Linked DNA regions of Canis lupus familiaris. The protein of the gene in region 2 binds, or shares a complex with, the protein of the main gene of each other region. Links are inferred from orthologs where the notes say so. Each region holds a gene or a part of one and is shown on either strand. Other genes may lie near its edges.

Region 1 (4,055 bases), on a different chromosome or scaffold from region 2:
TATGCAAAACAATGGTTCTCTCTGAGTGATAGGATCATGGGTACTTTTTCTTGTCTTTGCTTATTCTGATTTTTTAATAATGTATTACTTTTCTTAAAGAAAATATTGTAGGTATTTTTGAAAAAAGAGCAAATGGGTAGTAATTTTTTCTAAAGACTTTCACTTACAGAAGTTTCTTTTCATCTTTCTGCCCATCAGAACTGGGTGAAGCAAATGGGTTCTGGGACAATCCAAACCCCCTGTTCCTGCTAGTTGAAGCTCCAGAATCCAAGGAACCAAAAGATGGCTTTTCTTGATCTCTGCTGCCCCCCCATGGTGTTGATTTGGAGAAGCTGGATGGCTGAATAACGCTGGAATATCTTTGGCTGGTGGTATTCCATCCACGTCTGTTACTACCTGAAAATAAACGATAAAATAATTTTATTGGCAACTTCTCTTTTAAGTCTCAAAAATTTTCATTATATTGTCTTATTATGTGCAGACATGATGCAAAGATTCAACAAGCACCATACTTCCACTCATTTTAAATCACAAAACTCTTCATTTTTGATTTATATAGTTACTTGTAACCAGCAAATCAAGTAATGGTCTAATGGTATTTTTTGTTTAACAAGATTGAGAGGACTGTAAACCCATCGAAAAATAATGATATATTACTAAGTTCAGTGATATAAGTTTATTAAGTAAACAACTGCTTGATAGTGGGTTTAGGATGTAACCTAAGTCATAAGCTCCTTCAGGATAAAAAGCTGTCTTTACCATTCTTTGCTTTCCCACTAGGCCCTATATAGCAGTAAAGGCTGAAAAATGGACAATGTATTAAAGAGTTGCTGGACATAAAAAATTAGATTCCACCCTCTGTCCTTGAATAGATGCTTAAATCTAGTTGATTCAATCTTCTCTCAGGGAAAACACTTACCCACCTATCTTTCATAGAGAGATTGTAATTTACACATGAATAAAATGCACTCAGTTCTTCTATTATGAGCAGATTCTAATATTTCATAATTATCACAATGAGCCAACAGGACTCTCTCCTCTCTATTTAAAAAAATCTTATCACTTAAACTACCTCATTTACTCATCACTCCCTAGTTGGGGCCAAGATAATTTGCCTTGTTTCTGACTAAATTAGGAGACACTCCATTAGATTATATTAAGAACTAGAATGATGGGAGATATACTCCTTCATGAAAGTTCATCTCCCAACTCTACAACTACCTAACAAGAAAACAGATCCCTCGTGTGAGGGTCAATGGTATTTTATTTTTCTTAAGTTCCAAATCCTTTGAAGAAATTCATAGCTTTTGGCCTTCACTGATTAATTATAGAACATTCGTTTCTGGGAGATAAATACTGTTTACTTGATGAGTTTTATCTATGCTTTCTTCATCCATCAATCCCATTCAATATTTATTTTCTAATTACTACGTCTAGAGTGAGTCTCTATAGAGTGCCAAGTATTAAGCAGCCCCTTCCCAGGAAATACACGCACAATGATCAGACCCCAAATCCTAAAAAAAGAAAAAAAAAAATTTGCTTTGGAACATTTCACGAGGTGAAGTGTGGGTGATGCAAAAACGACTGTCTTTCAAGAAGAGGCATCGGAGGTGAAATCACACTGCAACATAGATTATGGGTCAGATGGACAATCCTGAAAGAGGGAAGGGAAGAGAGTGGGGTCAGCATCTTGTGACAACTTTAAGGACTTAAGCTTCGATCCTAAACAAAGAAAAACCTGACTGTTCATCTGACCTTTAAAACTTTGTATAAACAAACAAACAAACAAATAAAACCTTGTGTTGGTTTCATTTCTGGTTCCTCCTCTCCTTGAGCACAATCCTTCCGCATCATGCACAACTGGCTTAAATACTCCAAAACCTCTGACGATGACTCAGACCCAGCAGGTGGGTCCACACGGTCCTCCGACACCCCCTTCCCTCACAGCCCAGAGTTCTTAACTGGGGCAACACACTCTTCCGATTTTACCTTCAATGTTACGAGCACGTACATTCGCCAGAGCAAGAGCTTTGTAGCTGACATCACACGTTCAAAGGAGTCTGCGACTTCCCCAAAGCCAAGAATCCAGACTTTGGCCCCCAGCTGCGAGCCTCTCTCTCTCGGGAAAAGTTTCGTAAAAATTATACTTAGAGTGTCAAGGGTGAAGAAAAAAACAACAAGCACCCAGAAGGTGGGGTTTAGGTAAAGCGAGGCGGCGTCTGGGTCGACCTAGACCAGTTCTCCGGACCTTTACCACCCACAGACAAGGCAGTTACGACACGTACTTCCAACTTAGAAACTCATGGTTTCGCATTAGTACCAAAGGCCAAGACTCTGTCTTCATCCCCACGGCAGAAATCAGCGGGACGCCCACACAGCGGGTAGCGGCGCCGGGGAGAGCCTGCGCCGGGCCCGGGGGGCGGGGCCGAAGGCCGGACGACGCGGGCACGTCAGCGTCACTCGACTGCTGCGCCGCCGCCGCGCTGCGCCGAGCGGGCCCCACGCCGGACGCCCGTTCTCCGCCCGACGGCCCTGGCGCCAGGCCTTCCCCCGCTCCGCTAGCGGCGGCGGATGGAGGAGAACGTCACCTGAGGGCTGTTGCTGCCGTCCTCCGCCCGCACCCCCGGCGCCGGGATGTTCGTTCCAGCACCGGTCTCCAAAGCGGCACCGGCCTTGAAGGAAGAACTGACAAATGGTCATTGCGACGGCGTCGCCCACGGAACGGTCTTCTGTCAGCACCCAGAGCGGACGGAGAGCCCGAAGCAACCGAAGGTCCCTCCCCGCTGCCGTGACGTCATCTTCTCGCGCCCTTTCGTCTCTCTTGCCCGGCCCCGGGATGAGAGGCGTGGATTTTGCCCAATAGGGTTTGAGAAGAGCGGGGCGGCCCCTGCCCTCGGGTCGAGCTTGGGAAAGCTGAATGCTCCGAGAGTTAGCGTGGCTGCGGATTTCGAGGGCGGCTTGAGGGTGCGAGGTGATAGGGAAGCGAGTTAAGGGAACTGCGGTCTTCAGCGGGGACCTGGAGGGGAGGGATAGCTGTGGCTTGAGAGACCCGAGTTGTGTATTTCGTTTGCACCGTTGAGAAAGCAGAGATCTGCGCAGCCACTCATCAGGCGGGAAACAGGAAACACCGGTTAGAGGGCAAACGGAAAACTGTTTCCTTTAAGGGCAGACTGCAACTGAAAAGTATCCTCACAGCCCCACCTTTGGATGAACACTGCAATTCTTACGCTCTTAGAAAGCCAGTTCTTTAAGGGTCAGGTGCGCGCTGCTGTTTGAAATTGTATCAAAGAGAATGAAACATTCTCACTCTCGGCCGGAGGAACGAAGTCACTTGGACACCGGGAAGCAGCTTCGACTTGTGCCCAGGTGCAGAGCTTCCGATCAGGCGGCGTTCCTGAAGGGGGCATTCCTTATTTTTCTTGAATTGGTAATTTCCGAGGAAACACGGTCCTACCTCCACTTCTCAGTCCAGATCCGAGGTTGATGCCTTCACCCACAGCTCAGCTTTGCTTTGAGCTTATCATTTTACCTAAGCTCATGCCCACAAGTCTTAGGTACCTAAGCTCATGCCCACAAGTCTTCGTTGTCTTTTTTTTTTTTTTTTCCTTTGTACGGTGAGACACCCTACGGGTTCTTCTGGTTCGCGGTCTCTGTGGTTTCCCAGAGGCAACAAATAGGACTTTGGTGGATCACAGGTTTGTTCCTGCTGGTTTAGGATGATTGGTCATTGTTCTTGCTCACATCTTCGGATTTTGGATACACTGGAATCCACAGGAGCACTGGGAATAACTGCTAAAATGTAAAGTTCTTATTTAAGTAATCTCTAAGCCCCAGGTGGGGCTGGAACTCCCCATCCTGAGATCCAGTTGCATGCCCTTCTGACTGAGCCAACCAAGGTGCCCTGACCTAGTTTATTAAAAAACGAAAACAGCCATGTGGGGCACCTGGCTGGCTCAGGCAGTAGAGCATGCAACTCTTGATCTCAGGGTGGTGAGTTCAGGATCCACGCTGGGTGTAGAACTTACTTAAGAAATTAAAAAAAAAAAATTCGCTTA
Region 2 (2,606 bases):
ACCAGAGTCATTAAGTATACTTTATTCACCCCTAGGACAGCTTCCCCTCCGGCAGCATAGACGGCGGTGTGCATGAGGATGAAATGCCACCCCTGACAGCAAAGGGAAATCACAGGCAAAAAAAGTAGGGTTGAAAAAAGTCAAGATAGGGGCACCTGGCTGGCTCAGTTGCAAGAGCAGGTGACTCTTGATCTCAGGGATGGGAGTTTGAGCCCCACATCAGGTAGAGATGACTTATATAAATCAAATTACAAACTCAAGAGGAAGAGATGCAATCTGAGCCCAGAAGTCCACGACTTGTCAGACACAGGCACCCTCGAGGTCAACCACAACTCAGCACTTGCTGGTCTAAGGACATATTACCTCTAAGAACTGCTTGAGGCGTATGAAGGAACCCATTTGTCCTGAGCTTGTGATGGCTTCAATCCTGCAGGGAGAGGAAGAAGACACACAAATCACAACTGTGATTCCTACCTCCCTCCTGGAGAGGAGTTCGGGACGCTGCTGATCCAGAGGAAGGATTAGGTGGAATGACTCGAAGAGATGACTTCTGGGCTCAGGATGCTGTCATTCGTCCAAATGATCTCAGCTGCCTACTCAAACCAGGAGATAAAGGAGAACAGAGGACATTCCTTTCCAAGGTCTTTGCAGGCAGGCAGGATGGGTGCTGCTAAAACCTCTCCCTCGGCTGAAATGCCAGTGTGTTGAAAGGAATGAGAAGGGCACCTAAAGGCAAACACCATGGGTCAAGCCAACTGGTTTGTTTGTAAATCAGTTTCTCCAACTGATTTATTTTATTTTATTTTATTTTTTTTCCAACTGATTTATTAAGGGAGTTTTAACTCCTTGGTTAATTCATGATTGCGTGTGGTCACCATTCCAGATCAGCTGAGGGAGTTTGGAAAATAGTTAAATGTCAGGTATCTGAATCCAGGATCTTCCTAATTTAGCTTTTTCATTTAGCTAATAGTATTTAAGATACTCTCACTACAATTCTAAAATCAAAGAGAAGGATGAGAGATGTCACACTTGATATAGGTGCATTTAGCTGAGTCAAACCCAGCATGTAACTGCACCCAAGGGCATCTGACACTGTATGTTTCACCCACTGAATCCCATGCTGTCTATTCAATAAGCCACATACCTGGGGAAGTAGTCTTCTTTGATGAGAAGGATCATCTTCCAGAACTGTACCTGGTACTGCTTCATGAGGGCATTCCCACACACCTACAGGGAAGGACAGGCATGGTCAGAGCAGAGGATGCACATTTATACACATGCCAGAGATCTGTAAAGCACATCGGCTCTTTGCTTTTCACTCCTACCAAGAATTTCAGCCACAATACCACTTAGCACCTTACCTAAGCAAGGGAATAAATGGAAAGATCCAACTTTTTTCTGAAGCATTTCTCTGTATATGACAATATCTCCATTAAATCAACCACCAAGAAACCAAGTATTTTAGCAAACTAGAAAATATGAATCAAACTTTATTATTATTCTTTGATTCTACTGAATGGAAACTTTTCTAAAGTAATGGTGTTCCTCCCAACCATAGTAAGCAGAGCATATAGAACATCACCATGTTCTCAAGTTTATTCATGATCTCTGCTCACATCCTGTGACTTCAGGAACTCTAAGATGAATGGAAATGTTTGGCATTCTAGGCTCAATGGCCCACATCCATTACAGTATGTGCACCAGGGCTTTAATTTTTAAGAAATGTCTCCTTTCCACAGAAACCCTTACCGTCACCCCTATAGTGGTGGCCCCTCATAGGCAGACAGAACTATAAGGAATCTTCTGGATAAGGGAGAAACCTGACCCAAGCTGGCTGATCATATTTGCTCTGCCAGGTATGAGGGATCACAAAGATGGGACGGTAGTCCCACTACACTGGGCAACCACACTGAGGCAGAGGGCTATAGCCCAGGATGACTATCTGCTCCACTGTGCACAGAGAACCAGAGAAAGCTGGCCTATGGAGCAAGAATGAGGCATCCCTGCAGGAAGGGCACAGGAAGGGCACAGGAAGGACTATGTGGCCCCAGAGAGACTCTTGGTGCCTGGTAACATTCTAGTTCCTGATTCCAGGCCCACATGAGAGTCAACTACACATCCTGCCTTTGGTTCTGGGAGTCACTTCTCTATCCCTAAAACAAACGTCCCTTTTTGCTTGTGCTGGAATGTACGGTTTTTTTCTTTGTTACAATGAGAAGACAAGCACACAGAGAAGGAAAGCACAGTAGGAAGAAAAACCAAAAGCTAGGTGTGTCTTTAGCATTTGGGAAAAAAAAATGTGTGACACTGAATCCTAATGCTGTTCACCATCAGCCTGTCTCTATATTGCTTCCTGATTCAGGTCACACCATGGCCAAAGGCTGCTTCAACCACTGTCTCGTGTGATAACTGCATTACTTACCTCCAAGAAGTCAAAGAGGAGGGTGGCTGTCACATCTGACAGGGGCTCCATGTTTAAGATTTGTGCCAACCAGCGCCAACCATGACTTAAGCCATGAGGATGAATCTGGGAGGGGAGACACTTGGTCATGATTTGATCATTGGATCTAGGGATCTAAACCCCCAAAGTTAATCTCCAGCCATTA
Region 3 (4,144 bases), on a different chromosome or scaffold from region 2:
AGAGAAAACAGAGGAGGAGAAATCAATAATGAAATTTTTCAAGAAAATTTCTCATAACTTAAGGACAAGAATTTTCCAGATTGAAAGGACCCACCCAGGAATGCCTGGCTGGCTCAGTCAGAAGAGTATGCAACTCTTGATCTCAGGGTTGTGGATTTGAGCTCCACATTGGTTGTAGAGATTACTTAAAAATAAAATTGAAAGAAAAGAAAGGACCTACCCAGTGCCCAGCAAAGTGGATGAAAACAGACCTATACCAGGACTCATTATCATGAGTTTTCTGTGTACTGGAAACAAATAGAAGATTCTTATGGATTATGGGATCCCTGGGTGGCGCAGCGGTTTAGCGCCTGCCTTTGGCCCAGGGCGCGATCCTGGAGATCTGGGATCGAATCCCACGTCAGGCTCCCGGTGCATGGAGCCTGCTTCTCCCTCTGCCTGTGTCTCTGCCTCTCTCTCTCTCTCTCACTGTGTGCCTATCATAAATTAAAAAAAAAAAAAAAAAAAAAAGATTCTTATGGATTACAAATGAGAAAACAGGTCACATCAGGAATCAGAATGGTCTCAGACATCTCAATAACCAATAAAGAAGTCTAAAAGGCAATGAGACAATGCCTTTAAAATTTGGTAGGCAATTAATTCCCAACCTGCAGCTCTAGACCGAGCCATACCACTATCCAAATGATAGAGCAAAATAATTATTTCCAGAAATGCAATATTATCTTTAAAAAACTTCTTATATACTCCAGAAAGCTGGATGGATGGTTGCACAAAATCAAGAAAGATGAAGAGAGGATACAGAAAGGAGGGGATCCAGTACAAGAGAAGAGGAGTGAATCTTCAGAATGAAGGTGAAGGGAAATCTGTCTTGTTCCTCTCCAGTCCTTGAAATGAGTTCTGCTCTAAACCTAGGGAGAACTAGTCCAGTATGAAGTAGGCTAAAAGACCTGGGGGAAATAGAATTAATAGACTTTTTTTTTTAAATTAAAGATTCTAAAAATAAATAAATAAATAAATAAATTCTTAGGCAGCCGAGGTGGCCCAGTGGTTTAGCACTGCCTTCAGCCCAGGGCATGATCCTGGAGACCCAGGATCGAGTCCCATGTCAGGCTCTCTGCATGGAGCCTGCTTCTCCCTCTGCTTGTGTCTCTGCACCGACCCTCCCTCCCCCGTCTCTCATGAATAAACAAACAAAATCTTTAAAAAATAATAATAAAAATTAAAGATTCTAGGGACGCCTGGGTGGCTCAGTAGTTGAGCATGATCCCAGGGTGCTGGGATCGGGTCCTGCATTGGGCTCCCGTGGGGAGACTGCTTCTCCCTCTCCCTATGTCTCTGCCTCTCTCCCTGTATCTCTCATGAATAAGAAATAAAATCTTTAAAAATAATAAGTTTTTTTGTTTATTTATGAAACAGTGGGAGGGGCCAGAGAGAGAATCTTAAGCAAACTACACACTGAGCACGGACCCCCACATGGGGCTGGATCTTACCACCTCAAGATTGTGACCTGAACTGAAATCAAGAGTCAGTTGGTTAACTGACTAAGCCACCCAGGCCCCCCGAATTAATAGAATACTTAATTTGTCTGAACATCCTGAGATAAACTAAACAATTAGCAAAGTGCCTGAGGTTGAACTGGTGATAAGTACAAAAAAAACCATGAAGCGTGTTTTTTATAAATTCCAAGGAAAAACAAAACTTTATAGGAAAGTAAAAGTATCATAAGCTACTAATAAGATAAACATGAAATACTGATCTAACTAAAATTACAATATAATGAAAAGGTAAGGAATGGGAAGGTGTGCGTGTGTGGTGGAGAAAGGATGGAGGAAAGAATTAAAATCAGTAAATACCTAAAATTGAAAATTCAAGAACTAGCAAAACCCTGTGATTTAGAGAACAAGGAGGTCAATGATGTATATCCGTTTCAAGAGAACTATTAGTTTTTCTCTGGGAAGGAAAAATTGGTGGTGGTGGAACCAGTTTTCAAAACTACTTGACTCTTTGAATTATGTGCATATAATTTATTATCAGTTGTATAAAAAATAAGAAAGAGTCCTTATTCTCAAGAAATTCACAGAAGTACTAACAGAAGTAGGTTCAAAGTGTTTAGGTGGAAGGAGTTAATTCCACATAGTCATGTTTAAGTCATATCTTGCTTACTGTGTACTAAGCCCAGAACAAAATTAAGGTGATCAGAGAAGAGGATTTACTGACTACCGGGCCAATGGAGTCGTTCATTCATCATCAGTAAGCAAGTAAGGAAGCACACAAAGATGAGTAAGCCACAATCCCAGAGCTCAGGAAGCTCACAATCCAGAGGTAGGGAATGACACAGGGAGATTATAATCCAAGTGGGGAGAGCGCAATCTCGATCAGTCTGGATTCCAGAAGACAGGCGGCTGGGCGCTAGATCCATGGGAGCACTCACCTGCTCTTATGTAACCCAGGAGGCGGATGGATAAACAAAGCCAGCTCAAGGTTCAGGCTCCAGCCTCACACGCATCCTATACCGTCCTGGCCAAAGCAGCGAGTGTCCTACACAAGGGTGATCCCCGGCCAAAACTGACCCCCTGACCCATTTACGCCTGAAGCCAACTCACCGACTCAGCCGCCGCCTCCTGTTCGTCCACCGCCAGGGCCCACGAGTCGGTGGCCATGGTCCCAGGCGCCGGCGGGACGCTGGTGCTGGCAGACTCGCTGGCTGGGGCGGCGCGATCGTGGGCTCCCTGGCGTCGCAGCAAGCCCAGCTCCCGCCCCACCGAGGGAGCAGTCATTCGCTCGGGAGCTGGGGACCGGAAGCGGCGCGCCGCAGTGACGTCGGATCTGCGCCCGCCCAGCCGCCCCTCGCCCCCCGGGAGCTGCAGCTTCCGTCGCTTTCGGACCCCCGGCGCTGACCCTTGCTTAGCTCTGTCTACCTGGTGAACAGAGACGCAGACTGCCAACTGGACCTCCAGGCCACGAGCGCGCTGGCACAGAAGCTCATAGAGAGCCAATCTATCAAAACACAGGACCTTTACTAATACAGGCGTCACCAAAATGCGTATTGAGACGATCTTTTTCTCTTCAGGACAGTCATTTCAATGCCCAGGGGTTGGCAATCAGCCATGTCAAGCACCATTTGGTTAAAAGTTTGTCCTGCAGACTATGTCGGCAACACGACTTGCAGGAATTTCACTTTCAAAAATACTCAAGGAAGGTGCTAGGGAAATGTGTTCCAGGGAGAGGAGAGAAAAGGCCAGGAGGCCTGTGTCTGAAGGACACAGTTCCTGCGGGGATTGACAAGAACCAGAGATGAAGAGATTGGAGGTAGAGGCAATGGGCCATGCAAAGCAGCTTAATGAGCAAATGAATTCATTCCAGGGAACATCGCGAATCTGACAGGACTTTTGGAGTTAGCTGTGCCTGGAATGGAATCCCTAGTGCTTCCATGTAAGAGTTGTGTGATTGGGGGAATTTTTTTAAAAGGAAAAAAATACCTTGGATTTTTAGAAGAGGTAAAATAATAATGTCTGACACCCGCTATCCCCTAACTGAAAACAAACAAGGTTCTCTCCCCTTGTTACTTCACTGATAAGAAGCTGGGCATTTTCCTGCAAGGTGAGAAGATGAATCCTCACTTCTCTTTGCCACTTTTCTTCAGCAAATTAATTTTAAGCAGTAGTGGGCTCTATGTGGGATTTTACTTCAGAATATGAGTAAGAAAGTTCAGGAAAGGTAAAGCAGTTCCAGGCAATACTTTATTTGCCATGGCTCTTTTTCTCCTGTACTCTTGAGGGAATTAATTTGGTGAAGATTTTTTTATTTTTTGGAACCTACAGGAAGGACGTGCAAAAAGAAAAAGGCAAACACACAGTGAGGGAAGCCGTGACCTACATCTCATATCGGAAGCAGCCCTGGGAATATCTTGCCAGCAAAGTTATATTGATCACAGGGCTAATGAAGGCTAAAGACTTTTTTTTTTTTTTAAGTTTAATGCGGTTAAAAAGGAAATCATCCAAAGTGCAATACTGTATATAGTAGGATCCACTTGTGAGGAGATAAAAAAAAAAAAAAAAAAAACCTCTCATGTGTTTGTAGGTACTATAGAAAATGTATGAGATACACACAAAACTGCTAACAGCTGCTCCTAGTGAGGGGCTCT

What was found. The genes of interacting proteins can lie anywhere in the genome.
Region 1: the proteins of GLE1 (region 2) and NUP42 are in contact, whole or in part, in a crystal structure (PDB 6B4I), measured with the Homo sapiens proteins. The link is inferred for Canis lupus familiaris from reciprocal best matches to the Homo sapiens genes GLE1 and NUP42. Residues at the interface, in NP_001003722.1 of Homo sapiens: Ile385, Ile593, Leu598, Asn599, Trp602, Arg603, Ala606, Gln607, Leu609, Asn610, Gln636, Tyr637, Gln638, Val639, Gln640, Lys643, Met644, Ile646, Leu647, Glu650, Asp651, Tyr652; in NP_001357375.1 of Homo sapiens: Asp185, Asn186, Val187, Leu188, Phe189, Gln202, Phe203, Gln204, Ser205, Lys206, Lys207, Phe208, Leu210, Gly211, Lys212, Ile213, Pro214, Leu215, Lys216, Pro217, Pro218, Leu222, Leu223, Asn224, Val225.
Region 3: the proteins of GLE1 (region 2) and DDX19B are in contact, whole or in part, in a crystal structure (PDB 6B4J), measured with the Homo sapiens proteins. The link is inferred for Canis lupus familiaris from reciprocal best matches to the Homo sapiens genes GLE1 and DDX19B. Residues at the interface, in NP_001003722.1 of Homo sapiens: Lys416, Lys419, Met420, Gln423, Lys424, Thr427, Ile428, Ser431, Gln432, Ile433, Ser434, Thr435, Ile436, Lys440, Gln458, Ser459, Gly460, Lys479, Lys483, Lys486, Gln487, Glu490, Glu491, Ser494, His495, Gln554, Gln562, Asn565; in NP_009173.1 of Homo sapiens: Cys325, Asn326, Tyr328, Gly329, Ala330, Ile331, Thr332, Ile333, Ala334, Glu356, Gly357, His358, Gln359, Arg378, Arg380, Glu381, Gly382, Lys383, Glu384, Lys385, Glu400, Gln401, Ser403, Phe433, Gly434, Lys435, Arg436, Asp469, Asp470, Leu471.

What each region holds. Positions count from the first base shown.
Region 1 is NC_049235.1:36,944,648-36,948,702, reverse strand, and holds the start of NUP42 (nucleoporin NUP42), read right to left. Parts: upstream 2,801-4,055; 5' UTR 2,701-2,800; coding exon 2,589-2,700; intron 2,440-2,588; exon of another isoform or gene 2,286-2,439; intron 2,280-2,285; exon of another isoform or gene 2,044-2,279; coding exon of another isoform or gene 1,990-2,043; intron 397-1,989; coding exon 168-396; intron 1-167.
Region 2 is NC_049230.1:55,113,850-55,116,455, forward strand, and holds part of GLE1 (nucleoporin GLE1), read right to left. Parts: intron 2,528-2,606; coding exon 2,423-2,527; intron 1,228-2,422; coding exon 1,145-1,227; intron 727-1,144; exon of another isoform or gene 475-726; intron 428-474; coding exon 364-427; intron 1-363. UniProt on the Homo sapiens protein: Required for the export of mRNAs containing poly(A) tails from the nucleus into the cytoplasm. May be involved in the terminal step of the mRNA transport through the nuclear pore complex (NPC).
Region 3 is NC_049226.1:76,889,228-76,893,371, reverse strand, and holds the start of DDX19B (ATP-dependent RNA helicase DDX19B), read right to left. Parts: upstream 2,801-4,144; 5' UTR 2,778-2,800; coding exon 2,604-2,777; intron 1-2,603. UniProt on the Homo sapiens protein: ATP-dependent RNA helicase involved in mRNA export from the nucleus.